Linked DNA regions of Oryzias latipes. The protein of the gene in region 2 interacts with the protein of the main gene of each other region in a pairwise test. Links are inferred from orthologs where the notes say so. Each region holds a gene or a part of one and is shown on either strand. Other genes may lie near its edges.

Region 1 (4,632 bases), on a different chromosome or scaffold from region 2:
ATGGTTCCAAAACTGGATGGCTGGGTGGAACAAGGTAAAGTGAGACTTTAAGTCGGTCTCTCCACTTGCCAATCAAAAAACATACTTTGACTAAATTTGAGCTCCTCTAAATTCAAGCCAGTTAATTAAAAAAATAATTATAACAATCTGCCATCCATAGAAAACAAAGCAATATATTCAGAGGTCAATGAGAAATTGCTCCCTTTGAACCAACTTCTAGTGGTCATTTTAGGAACTGCAACGTTTGATACTTTTGCATCTCCTTCAAACCCAGGAACAGACAGTTGGGGGTCGAGTAATACCGATAACAAAGATGGCATGCAAACTATGAGGCTGAGATTATTAGTTATTACACCACAAATGTAAATATTATTTTTTACCCAATATGACAATAAAAACAAGATGCGTTTGATTCCATCTACAGTTGACCCTCAGCTCTTCTGCGCTGTTGCTTGTATGTTACAAAGGCATGAATACAAGTCATTGATGTGCACAAAGCATTTAACCTTTTTATAATTAACCCCATCTATTCTTTCCAGTTTGTGAGTCATCTGTATGTTTAGTTTTTGCCCTAAACTAAGAAATATATCACCCTGAAAACCGCCTACACTTTAGCCACCCACGCCCTTAATGCTCTGCTCAACCCACCCCTTTCTATTCGAGCTGCAGTTGAGCATGCATGCACACCCAACTAGTTACAACATATAAAAAGCATACATTTCGCCTGATGATGTGGGTTCTTTTCAAAGCTGTTGAAACATATGTGTGTGCGTTTTAATCACTAGCTCTTCCACGCCACGTCGGTCTCAAATTACATCCAGTGGCCTGGGTGAGGTAGAGCCGACTACACCTTGATCCTGCAGACTAAGCTACTCTTGCTCTTTATCACTGAAGCTCCCTTCAACAGCGCCTCTGCGGATCAATTTGATTACAGATGCCATGCTGATCCATTTACAAATGTGGGACAGCTGCTGCCAAATGGCTGCACCCAGTCCCATTTGGCACGAGTCAAACAGGAAGTCAAACGCGTTCACTGTCTCCCTATTGCCCACTTTCTCCAACTCTACCACTTCCTAGGAGTAGACACAACACACACACTTTCTGAGCACATGATAGACACACACTCGGTTCCCCTTCCCCCACGTCTAGTGGAAATACTTTTAACAGCTGCATTCAGAATGAAGTTCCACTACAACAGTACGGTCACAGGGGAGCCAGGCTGCTACACACACAATCCAACCAAGCACCACCACTACCCCCGCTTCCCTCCCTCCCCAGGCTGTGGATGTAATAAGGGCGTCCGGTTCTGAAGCAGGGGCCCTCGGCTCACACAGGAAATGGAATAGGCAGATAAGGCACTTTCTGCTGGCCAGATGATGAAGAGTCAGCAGGAAGAGTAGGCACAGAGAAGACACTGCAGACATGTCAGAGTACACCTGAAGAAAACAAATGGCCTTCAACTCTATGAACTCTTCCCACAGCTGCTGACAGGCGTTCACAGGAGCCATTTTAATCAATTAAACTATTCTAGCAATAATGCAACAATTTTAAAAAAATAAATATGGATCTTTACACCAGGAACCTGTCAAATTTATCTGGAAGCATAAACTCGCTGAGGATTACAGACAAAAACTAGCTTTTGGCCAATTCTGACTTTTCTAACCATAATCGGGCATAGTTTTGAAGTTGCACTGTCCAATTTCAATAAATGTATTATTAGCTATGAGAGAGCCAACAGTATCAGGCAAGAAAATGGTTTGGAAAGCTCATAAACTGGTTTGAAACGTGTCGACTCATTAATTTCCCATAATTCCCTTTCATTTGGAATGAAAACAACGACCAAATTACCAGTTAAATTTAATTGTTTCTCGGCTTTTGCTTATTCTAATAAGTTATTGAGAACGTTTTCATGTTCACTAAAACGAAAACGTGCAATTTTTAAATATTTTTTCAAAAATCGACGGTTTTCTCATCGACTCAAACAGAGAAAAGTTGACAGAACTGGTCTTTTAGTTCATAAATAACTGCTCTGTAACCCGTTTGATGACATTAAATAATACTTTTTAGCATAGTATAGAATAGATTTGGGTGAAAAAGTTACCGAATTTAATGCGTCACAGCGCTTTAACCACCATAACTCTACAGGCTTTCTTCAAGTTTCAAGTGTAAACATTTGAGTGACCCAATCGCGAAGATGTGAGTCCGCGGTAACCCTTCCTCTATAATGATTTCCGGTCATGTCACGCTCTGTAACTCAGATGAAACTGTCCTCATCCGCGGCGCTGGCTCCACACCTCGTTCCAGACGCTGGACAGGAACCGTCAGTGATGCAACTCAAGCGATAATGCACCAAAAATCGATACAATATTTCCGCTTCGTTCTCGGGACTTTTTTTTCCCCTCCCAGCAACAAAACCACTATTGCGCACCACGTATATCGCGGCTCGGACGCAAAGTCGGCACGGAGAAAAAAAATAAAAAATACATCCCTCCAGGTTAATCTCCCACGAAAACATTGCGGAGGCCTACCTGTTCCTCCTCCGCCGATAAAGTAGCTGCCATGATTCCCGTCAGCTCTCCGATGACCTTTTTCTACAGCCTCGTCCTCCTTCTCATAAAGTGGGAGATGTCTGTGCGCGCGTGCTCCTCGTGTCACAGTCGAGGCTTAGGGCTCCTTCACAGCCGACGACATCTGAGTGGAACCTCTTCCCCCTCCGAAAATGTGTTGCTGCTATCCACGCAGGCCAATTAGCATGAATCAGCATCCAAACTAGAGATGAGAGCCGCTGATGTGTCAGATTTCACCCGAAGAGGAGGAGGGAAAAAAACAACAAAGAACACAGGGCTGAAAGCTGGGGGTTTGCTTCAACTCGGGGGATAATAACTGGCTTTGAACCGATGAAACACGTCTCACCCACCTAGCCTGACAGAGATCAGAGGGCTGCAGCCACCCGCTGGCTGCTCCATACCACGAATCGCAAGGTTTCGCCTCTGAACGTCGCCTTTATGCTGCGCGAGAGGCTTTCTACTCCTCTCTTTCCGCATGTTGCTGTACCCCCTGGCGGTTCCGAACGGAACTTTACAAGTGACCCTGCCTCCATTCATAAAAATGGAAAAAGACGGAACAAAAAGAACTGTTGGTGGCTGGCAGCTACAAACACAAACAAATATCTGAACACATTTGAAATAAGTATAAAAACCATTCATTTTAGGTTTGTTAACAGACAGAAACTAAACATGATTACCCTCAACCTGTAAAGGGCCTCCATCATGCTTTTCCTAAACCTTTCAGAGAGTCCCTGTGGACGCCGCCCAGTCGGACAAACTGTGGCCTGTCTGTCAGGTAGTCAGTGATCCAGGAGACGGTGGACGCACCGGCACCCATCAGCAGCAGCTTCTCACCCAGTAAAGAAGGCTGGGTGGTGTTAAAGGCACTGGAGAAATCAAAGAAGGTGATTCTCACCATGCCTCCACCACCATCCAGTTGTGAGTGAGTGAGCTGCAGCAGATGGATGACAGCATCATCCACCCCCAGACGGGGTCGGTAGGCAAACTGCAGGAGGGTCCAGAGAAGAGCTCACCAACGGTCTCACCTGAGCCAAAACCAGTCTCTCCAGCACCTTCATCACATGAGACGTGAGGGCAACTGGACGGACATCACTGGGGTGAGATGGAGATGACTTCTTGGGTACAGGGACCAGGCAGGAGGTGTTCCAGAGGAGCGGCTCCCTCTCCAGTCTGAGGCTCAGGTTGAAGAGATGCTGGAGAACCGCAGACAGATGGTGGGCACAGGTCCTCAGTGTTCGAGAGCTGATGCCATTCGGGCCGGCTGCTTTGTGCTGGTTAAGTTTCTCCAGCTGCTTCTTCACCTGGCAGGCTGTTACAGAGAAACAGGGAGGGAGGGGGGTGGTGTGATGAACTGTGGGCCCAATAGGTTTGGTGTAGCAGAGGGGGGTGAAAGGTGAGGAGGTGTGGGGGGGTTCATGAGGGTGAGAGGTGATATGAGAGAGGGAGCAGGAGCAGGGGGGAGGTGTGGTGGAGGCAGGGGGGGGGGGGGGGGCTGAGGCATTCAGAGAGCTAAACCTAATGAAAAAGGTGAGCGTTTATGAGTGTTTAGCGACGATTATTTATGAGTCCACTGTCATCTGAAGATAAAAATGTTGATGGTTCATTTAAAAAAGAAATTAAAATGAATTTTTTTGCAAAAATTGTTCCAACGCAATGCATTGTGGTCTACATTTTCCAATCTAGTAAGCATCGACGCACACTGGTTTTTTGAAGAGACTTCTGGGAAATTTCTAGGGCACTGGATTTAGGAATTGTAGATTTGGACGGCACTACAAAACGGCAAACGGTGTTTGCCAAACACGCCATATAGTCCACTATGTAGTGAGTAGTGAAGGAATTCACTGGACAGAGCGGTTGTGATGTCACCCGTAGACAATGGTTTACATCCGGCTCCAGCACAATGAAGCTTATTCAGTCCCTAATTTTCCACGATACGTCCGCCGCCATTTGGAGCCAGTCAGCTTGAGTCACGTTTCCAGGGCAACTACCGTTGCTAATCAGGAGTGAACTTGGCCTCGGGAGAATCTGTCAATCAAACATTCAGGCTGGGGGGGCCAGCGGGCTT
Region 2 (4,632 bases):
AGGCAACCTACCTACCTCTGATCAGCTTACACTGCTGCTCAGTCATGGAGGCCGCCCCGCCGTGTTGCCTGTCCCTGTGGATTATCTGATTTAACACCACTGCTTAGAGAGGGAGACGGTGAGCGCCAGGCACCACACTGACATCATGTCCTGCTCACTGTGTCACTGACCCACTGCACCCTCAATACACTGCTGTTACTCGCTCACGAGATGTGTTGAGATCTGACTCAGTGGAATCTTAGGACACAACTTATGTTTAATTAAAGTCTATTTCTTTTGTTGATAAAATATCAAGAAATAACAAAGGCAAGAACTTAAAACCAAGCTTCCAATCCTTAAAAAGGGGTTTAGAAAATTGATGGATGATTGGTTGAAGATAATTGAATCGGTTAGTTCGAAAGGGACCCAAGTCCACAATTTTTCAAAATACAGATATTACATGTTCTATAGACTTCAAAGGAAAAGCTATCTGATTATGTGCAAAAAAGTTCCAAGTCCGTTGTAATGTATTGACAATGCTTTGACATTTAAAATGCGTTTAGTGCAAAATTCCTTGACTTGGGCCTCTCTTGCATGGGTTTTGCTTCATCCCATAGATGGCAGCACTAGTTATCCAATATGGCAGAGCCCCTGTTTAATTCAAGAAGGGCCCAAGTCCAGAGACTTTAGTCTTAATTTCCTCTGAAGTTATAAAAGTGAGGTGCTTCATATTATAGCATTTGTAAGCTATGAACTGGTGCCAAATCTGGGTAAAGTATTAATCATTTGGTGTAGCCTCCCTTTAAGCTATGCGATTAAAATCATTTCCTGGAAAAACAAACCTCTTGGACTTGGGCCCCTTTTGAATGTTATCCTGATCACAGGAAAGATGGAGCCTACCCAGCCAATGAAAGGTGAAGCCTTTTGACCTCCTCTGCATTACCCAGACTTCTGATTGGCACATGGAAACACTGGAGAGTGCCCCCGTCCCATGTGGTTCCCCAAGTTTTAGAACCAGGGAGTCCAACGCAGTCTCCCATTCAAGGACTGGGAACCCTTCCAAATGTTCAAGATCAGTCAAGATTGGTTGCGTCCATCTATGCTTTTTGTTAAAGAAAAAATATGCACATCTTCAAATTGGGATGAAAGGAAATTTATTCTGCCTGCAACAAACCTTATAGCTACAACTGCAATAATGACATAAAGAATTGTGGGTAAGAAAGAGAGCAGACAGAGAAAACCCTGTACCCACGCATACAGGGGGTTGAACCGTAAAGGTGATGGAGGTTTTTAGGTTGTCCGGGCCCGTGGAGAGTTGCAGATAGGAGCAGGGGAGTGCAGATTTTTCACCTCCTCTGAGGGTTGTATGGCCACTTCAAGGGACAGTGTGAAAATGGAACGTACCATTTTTGTGCATGTGGTAAGTGTATCACATCTGAGTTACAGTATACACACTTATGACGAACAGGTAATGCTGGCGTTCAGTGCCCTAGTCATCGGTAAGGTGCACATACTAACTCCATACTGAACCATTTGTGTGCCCAGTTTTCACCTGCCCACCTTTGAGGGCAGTTGTGATCAATACCTAATGAAGGTGAACAAAAAATTACCATTGCATTTGGAACAGTCTCCTGCATGGCAGCATACCTCAATACATGGATCAGGGTCACCCATGTCATCGACAACCCTTCTGGAATAGTACTGGAGATGCTCTGTCTCACATGTTTAAAAATGTATGTGCTCAAAACTTTATTAATAAAGCTGCCATTGGTTACTTACATATTGTTTACAAGAGGCGGAAAAAACATTCAGTGGGATTTTTATCAAAATAGTACATGCCCGAGGGGACAAAGCGCATTGTGATACTGTTGTATCCTAGTCAACTAAATCTATTAGCAGTTTGCTGTCTATTTATGTTTTTTGCTTACCTAAGCCCATAGGATCAAACCAAAACAAAAACATTAAAGAGGCCTAGCATATTTTGCCAATGGAATGTTGCGTTAACTGTTGGGACAACAGTGTCATGATTTGAGTTTGTTGTCTTGTTTTTCGTCCTTGTTCTTGTTCTGTCTGGTTTGTTTCTGTTTCCTGTTTTATTTTGAAAGTTCTCCTGTCTTGTCTGTTTTCTTGAGTTTTACTTCCTTTGGTCCCCATCTGCCCTGATCGTGTTCACCTGTGTCTTGTCTGCCCTGTCTGTACTTAAGTCATGTCTTTGCCTTCCTCCTGTACTGGTTCATTAGTCTTGTCATGGTGTTTCATGTCATGCTGTCTCTTGCCACATTCCACGTTTCATGTTCCTCGCCACGTCAAGTAAGCTTTGTTTGTTCAGAAATCCTGCTCTGCAGCGCTTTGTGTTTGGTTTTTGTTTATTAAATCCATTAGACTCTGATCCTCGTGCCTCCGCCTCTGCTACTGGGTCCTACCGGCTCTCGAGCCACCCCGCACCATGACAAACAGTCCAAAAACACAATTTGAAACCATTTGTCAATGGAATACAGATGCAACTTAGGAGGTCCTGATCAATATGAACAGTTGGTTTTGCATCCTGGTAGCTTTTTTTCACATGAGGATTAACTGAATCCCCATCCGTTTTCCATCAGCTTGCAGCTAGCCAATGCAAGTCTTCTAAATTCAAGAAGAATCAACGTAGAAATATCTGTTGGGGAGTTCGTTTTGAACTGAACAGAGTAAAAACAAGGGGTCACGTTACGTACCCGCGGCAATGAACTTCTTCTTGATCCCCGTCTTTTCCTCTACCTTTCCCAGAAAATCGGTCACCATGTTCTTCTCATTGAGAAACTTTTCGGCCCGTTCTTTGATGGAAGAAAAAATGTCCAGCAAGCCCATGGTGCTCGAAGAGCTGCTAAAGCGCAAAATGGGTCAGGGAAAGGCAGCCTGCAGGGAAGAGGAAGTTATAACCGCCGTTAATCCCCTGACAGCAGCAATCTGCTTTGATGAGGAGGAGGAGGGGGAGGAGCACAGGAGCAGGTGGATAATGATATGGCTGTGACCGTCATGAAACCCAAAAGTCATTTCCAACATATATATGTATATCGGTTTATCTTAACAAAGAGTCATGATCCGCACAACGGTTGTGAATTGGAAGCAGGTCACTGGGGTGTTTAAGAATTTCTTTGAGTTAAGGCCGTGTCACACAGCCATTACGTACATTTTGCGCACATTGTACAGATGAAAATTGGTCATACGTGAATACACGTGGAAAGAGTGAGAATCAGAATTGAACCACTTTGAAACCACAAAAGTACAAATAAATCATGCAAAGAACATGTAAATCAACGAAAAAGGCAAATATGGCCCAAAATCCATGCATTAATTTACTTAATTTGAACGTCATATGTGTGCTCTATACGCAATATAAAAGTTATACTTCAGTGGTACGTACGTAAAAAGTCCATAGACAAAAACTATGCACAATTGCGTAAGATTTACGCTTGAATTGTGTACAAGCCTCGTAAAATACACAAAACCTGCTTAATTTTCATCTAACCAAAAATTCTGATCAGCATAAAACCAAATTCAGGTAAAGGCCAATCGCCCAACATCCTCGACGAACATCTGCGCACAGCGACACATGACAGGAAACACTAGCGAATTACGTATTTCGCGCATTCATCACGAAAGACAGAAATTGAATACATGGAAAATGTGTAAAATGTACATAGTAGCTGTGTGACACGGCCCTTAGGCCCACAACACAGAGAAAGTTCAACAGTGTGTTCCAGTTCCAAGGAACACGCACCTCTTGGTCTGCACCCATATACCCCTCTTCTACTGCAAAAAGCACTCATCTCTGATTACTTACAAGACTCACAATAAGTTAGGAATATTTTTATTTGCATGAGTATTTTTCCTATTTGGCCTGATTTTATTGAAAAGTTCACTTTGATATCACCAATAATAAATGATAAGAAACACTGGCTATGTCTCAATTCCCTCTCTAATACCTAACTACTAAAAACTATATAGTGCGGGACTATGTAGTGCCCTGGATTTTAAGAGTAATTCGTACACCATGCTCACTGCTTTTTTTTGTTTTACAGCAAATATAACATCATGGATTTCACAAAGTAAAAATCTCATCAATATGAGCATTTTGCGACGACCATTCATGAATTCCCTGTGTTCTAAAGATGATAACGTTGATATTTTATTTTAAAAAATACATTTAAATAAATTTTCTTTGTAAAAGTTGTTCAAACGCAGTGTGTTGTGGTTTGCATTCGCCATTCAAGTAAGCATCAATGCACAATGGTATTTCGCAGAGACCTCTGGGAGATTTCTGGGGCACTTGATTTTGGAATTGTAGTTTCGCACAGCACCTCGAAATGGCAAAGCTTGATATCTCAATACCGATAAATTTGCGATTCATTGTGCAGACCTAATGGACACCAACCACTCAGTATAGGTCAAATGTTGTTGATGTCCATTTCTAATGTGGAGCACTTCTGAATATCAAAATTAAGATAATCTTTGTCTTTTGAACAATCCAACCTACTGTCTATGATCTAAAAAAATGTTTCCTTGCTTTCACTAGCTACATACCATAAAAACATTGATTTCTCTGTATTTCAAATACCTCAAATTCCACCTTCTGGAGGACACCTACCAAATACTGCTGCCTCAAACAAGTAA
Region 3 (4,632 bases), on a different chromosome or scaffold from region 2:
GAAATATTGCAGTTCTGATTAAAAAAACTGTATGGGACCTCAAATTAACAAATAGGTTATTTTTCTTTGTAAAACTTCTTGAATAAAATTAAAACACTGATCTAAAAAATCATATTAATAAGACTATTAGTTTTGAATTAAAGCAGCGAGCCGTGTTGTATGACCCATAAGTGATACCCGTCCCCATTTCCCCGGCTTTATTTTCCCCCTCTGCCTCTGCCACCCCGGTCAGAGCTGCATGTTGTTGTTTTTTAATGGCAGCATCTCTGTTGGTTAAATCTCCATAAAAAAAAACCATTTTATCTTTTGGTCGCCTGGCGGTGACGAACCGGTCTGTGTCATTTTAAGTGACAGCACATTTTGGGATTTCCTTGGCAACTGAGGTCCACATTCCTAATCTGTTTTGTATCATCTGCTGTATCATTTTGTTCAACTTGAGCCAGTATTACATTCATGTATTCATTTCTTTTACAATATTTGGGTGGCAAATGTGTGGGCAACAGGAGAACGCCACTTATGGAGGCTCCCCGTGCTAGCACCTCTGAAAATCGACTAAATTCTTCCAGTAGCTTTCCATTGATGCTCAAGGAGTTAGGAGGCGATAAGATGGGAAGTTTAAAATTGTAGCTGATACTAAAGGTGAATTTTTTAATGGAAAATAAATAAATCTAATTTAATGACATTTTGAAGTTTTGGAGCTAATGTTGACTCCGTTTTTTAAAGTAGATTAATGCAAAACGGCGACAAAAAACCCAAATATTTAGCAAAGCTGAAGCCTAACAAATAAAAGCTTGGATTTGGGAAGCTAGAAGATAATCAGGACTTCCTGTTTATGCTTATTTTCATTCATAAAAGCATTCAAGTTTTGCCCAGAGGTGTTGTGTTTTTGACCTTGTGTGTAGCAGGGATCAAAAACCGCCAAGTCGTTATCAGACAGAGGCGGGGGGCCCTCTTCCTTTGGAGATGGGACTTTCTCCTCTGCCTCTGAGTCAAACAGGGAATCGAACTCCTCGTGGGTCCCGTCTGGTTGGTGGCGTCTTGGTGAAGATATTTCAGGAGAAGCAGCTGGACAAACGGACAGAAGATGAGAACAAAAATCTACCAAAAATAGTAAATAAATAACGTTTAAAGTCTCGTACCTCGCTCTTCCAGATCACTAAGTTCCTCTTCTCCTCTGGGAGTTCCTCCGACCTCAACGTACGCCTCGGCTGCCACCTCCGGCTCCCCCAACTCTAAGCTCAAGTTGGTGCCCAAATCTTGGGGTAAAGTGGGGGCCTCCCTGCCCTCTTCCTCTTCAGCCGGGTCACAATCCGAAGCCCTCCGCTTGGGCAGGGGAATTAGAGGGGGAGGCAGAGCCCCGGCCGAGAACAGAGGGGAGGGATCAAGGGGCCTTGTGACTTCACCCCCCTGAGGGAAGAAAAATGAAGGAAGAGAAATGAGGAGGAGGAGGGGGATATGAGACAGTGAAAGTGTGAATCTGTGTCCTCACTCTGAAGAAGTCCTTGAGCTGCGGGCTGTTGTAGAGCGCAGGGATGCTGGTGGTGAACTGAAGCATGGCCTCGGCTGCCTTCCTCCTCTCCTCAATCACAGCCTCATCAAACCTCCCTGAAGTAGAAATCACAAGCTACACTTTACTACTGCATGTTGAAAAAAGTAAAAGAATATTCAATTATTACAACTTCTGGGTATTTACATCTACGGCAAAGAAGCATGGCTGTTGTTGCCGTGGCAAAGCAGACAAATAGTAACAACAGCCTTTTTTTATACATCTATTTTTTTTGTTCTTTTCCTGATATGTGATATTTGATTTAAAAAACATATTTAAAAAAAAAAAGGCATTGCCAGTTTTGCAGCTCGATTTCTTTAACTGAGTTTAATTCTGCCTCATAGTTTTCATAATGGCCCCAAAATGCAACCAAATAATTCCAGCTGAATGTTTAAAGACCCACTCTAATGGAAATTTTGTTTTTTGTGTGTTTTTTAACACATTCTTCTGGCATTTTTAAGATGATGGAGGACATATATAAGGAAAGTTAAGCTTTTCTGACTACGTATTCATTCAAATTGTTGTAAATAAGGAGTAGATAAAAAAAAACGCCATTTGAAAAATGTATTCATATACTTCGTTACAAAACAGCATAATTAAAAGATCACTGAGAAATCTTTCAAAACAGATCAAAAGAGGTGGGACTTTAAATTAGTTCTTAAGGCTACTGTGGACAGGATCCTCTGTGTTGCAACCATGCATTCAAAAATAAGCCACACCATCAAGAGTAATGTAGAAAGCGAAAGGCAGAACAGGAACAACAGAAGTAAAAATGAAAAAGAGGTGATTACAGCTCCCAGTGATGCTGAAATATCAGATATTTTTATTAACGCCCATCATGAATGATGTGATCGTTGCAGAACGTACCAAAAACCTGCGCACGTGGAAAAGGGGGGAACTCCTCCTGCCGTCTAAACAGGTTCCTGTGCGTGAACGCCAGCTCTCCGTGGAGCTTCTTCAGCTCCGAGAACCTCCTCCACACCGCCACCTCCTTCACATCCTCTGGATGAATTTTAGATACAAACTGCAAACCCCAGAAAAGATGGTTCAATCGTTATTACATGCTCAAAAATCATTTTTTCGTAAAGAGCTGGAGTTTTTAATACAATCGGTGGCGGGTAAAAAAAGGCCGATTTTTTTTTTCAAAGTCAAATTTTTAATTAGACTGATTTTCAAAGCATACTTGTCGAGCACAGGAGGATTAGTGTGGTCATGGGGAGATCATGAAAAGAATCACAAGTTTCCTCCCCCCTGGCTTAATCGCACAGAAGAAGTTCATTGTGCTTCATCTCTACAGAAAAAAACTGACTGAAAAGAAGTCAAACTTGCTTTTAACTGTGTCAACACTTTTTTGATTCCACACACTTGCAAATAAAAACAACGTATGTAGCCTAATTACCTTACTTAGGAAAGAAAGAAAGAAAGAAATAGCCAAAGGACATATCTTTAAAAAATAAAACTTTGACAGCTAAAGATGAGCATGATTGACACTGACCCTGGCTGTCACTTTGTACTCCGTGTGACCCTTCTCGTGGGTCCGAGGCTCGCTAACAGCGAAGAACCGATAATATTCTTCTTTTGGTTTCTTTGACATGTTTTGTCTGAGTTCTAGCCAAAAAAAAAGTATCAGACAAGCAGATGAACGAAGCAAAACTATCCACAAAAACACTGCGCTGAACGGCTCTGTTGTGATTCTTCAGCACCTCCTCTTTCACAACTTCCTGGTTGGTGACGTTCGCGCATGCGTGATTACGTACGTAAAACGCGACACATATCTTTTATTTAATTTTTGAAAGCTTAACATTTATTCTATGTATTTTGTGTTTTTTAAATATTTGGAAACACGTTTTTACCATTGATAACCCACGATATTTCTTATTTGCTATGTTTATATTAAATGTACTATTCTAATAAATTTACTTTTTTTCTTCTCCGAGTAATCCTTTTCGCTGAGAGGTTTTAATTTTTCTCATAAATATGAAATAATTTCACTGTATTTTATGCTGACTTTTCAACTTAACCATGGTTTAATTTACTTAAAAAGAACATCACTTTCGTGAACTCAACATGTATAGTGAGGGTTACAATCCTGTAGGGGATGGTATTGAGCCAGAAATTTAAAAATACTGAAAAAAGCTAAAGGAAGATGAAAAATGCACGTTGTTTTCGTATGTTTGTGTAAGTAAGCCTGTGTTCTTGTTTTTAGGCAACGACAGGAAAACAAACGTGTCCTGCATCAAGGAAGCTGCTCGAATATGCAAAGAAATACGCCTTGGACATACCCAGACAATAGATAAAAGAAAGCGGTCTAGACTAAACTTAAACTACAAGGCCGAGGAAGTTCCCCCCATGGTTTTCTTTTCCTGCCCAATGCTATATAAGCTTCTTTTTATTCTCCTGGAACAATCAGGACTTTGTACCATCAACTTTGTATTCTTAACATGGCCTGATCAGCCTTAAAGTATGTTGTTTCATTGATCCAGATGTTTTAAATATACCAAAATTAAAAAAATATATACTTTTCTTCTAACTGTTGATTATTTAAATTTTTAGTTAACCGTATCTAATGACTTAAGTCTCCATCAGGCGCTGTGTTGTGAGGGTTAAACAAAAACCAAAAGCTTAGCAGAGGATGGTTTCGATCCATCGACCTCTGGGTTATGGGCCCAGCACGCTTCCGCTGCGCCACTCTGCTACACATTCCTCCAAAGCAAACACTTACTATTTGTACAATGGTCACACACGGACTGTTGAAGTCTGGGTGTATCATGCCTGGTCTTTTGGTGCAGGAAATTGTTGACCAGCTTTTCTTGTTTCTTTAAGACCTCTGCCAAATACAAAGACATCAAGAAATTGGTTATGCTTCATGTGAAAGAAAATGTGGGTCATTTTTACAGAACGCTTAAAAATACAAGCTTACATAAATTGGAATTTTATTCTTAATTGGAGATCTAAAAAAATAATTGTTATATAAGGATATGATGAAAGAGGCCCTTCGTGAATTTAAGTGAAAGTGCTTCACATAAAGTCTTATCAGACGCACCGCACCCTGCAAGTCATCAAAAAACTCAAAGTCTCGAGTACAA

The links.
Region 1: the proteins of receptor expression-enhancing protein 6 (region 2) and ptpn9 interact in binary tests that used the Homo sapiens proteins (3 or more experiments, as listed by UniProt). The two-hybrid records come from large-scale screens. The link is inferred for Oryzias latipes from reciprocal best matches to the Homo sapiens genes REEP6 and PTPN9.
Region 3: the proteins of receptor expression-enhancing protein 6 (region 2) and snx15 interact in binary tests that used the Homo sapiens proteins (3 or more experiments, as listed by UniProt). The two-hybrid records come from large-scale screens. The link is inferred for Oryzias latipes from reciprocal best matches to the Homo sapiens genes REEP6 and SNX15.

Annotation. Positions count from the first base shown.
Region 1 is NC_019864.2:10,371,141-10,375,772, reverse strand, and holds the start of ptpn9 (tyrosine-protein phosphatase non-receptor type 9), read right to left. Parts: upstream 3,048-4,632; 5' UTR 2,918-3,047; intron 2,845-2,917; exon of another isoform or gene 2,770-2,844; 5' UTR 2,562-2,769; coding exon 2,529-2,561; intron 2,197-2,528; exon of another isoform or gene 2,102-2,196; intron 1-2,101. UniProt on the Homo sapiens protein: Protein-tyrosine phosphatase that could participate in the transfer of hydrophobic ligands or in functions of the Golgi apparatus.
Region 2 is NC_019862.2:22,294,069-22,298,700, reverse strand, and holds the start of receptor expression-enhancing protein 6, read right to left. Parts: upstream 2,911-4,632; 5' UTR 2,827-2,910; coding exon 2,694-2,826; intron 135-2,693; exon of another isoform or gene 47-134; coding exon of another isoform or gene 16-46; intron 1-15. UniProt on the Homo sapiens protein: Required for correct function and survival of retinal photoreceptors. Required for retinal development.
Region 3 is NC_019876.2:12,559,855-12,564,486, reverse strand, and holds the start of snx15 (sorting nexin-15), read right to left. Parts: upstream 3,287-4,632; 5' UTR 3,141-3,286; coding exon 3,042-3,140; intron 2,571-3,041; coding exon 2,414-2,570; intron 1,606-2,413; coding exon 1,490-1,605; intron 1,408-1,489; coding exon 1,140-1,407; intron 1,066-1,139; coding exon 892-1,065; intron 1-891. UniProt on the Homo sapiens protein: May be involved in several stages of intracellular trafficking. Overexpression of SNX15 disrupts the normal trafficking of proteins from the plasma membrane to recycling endosomes or the TGN.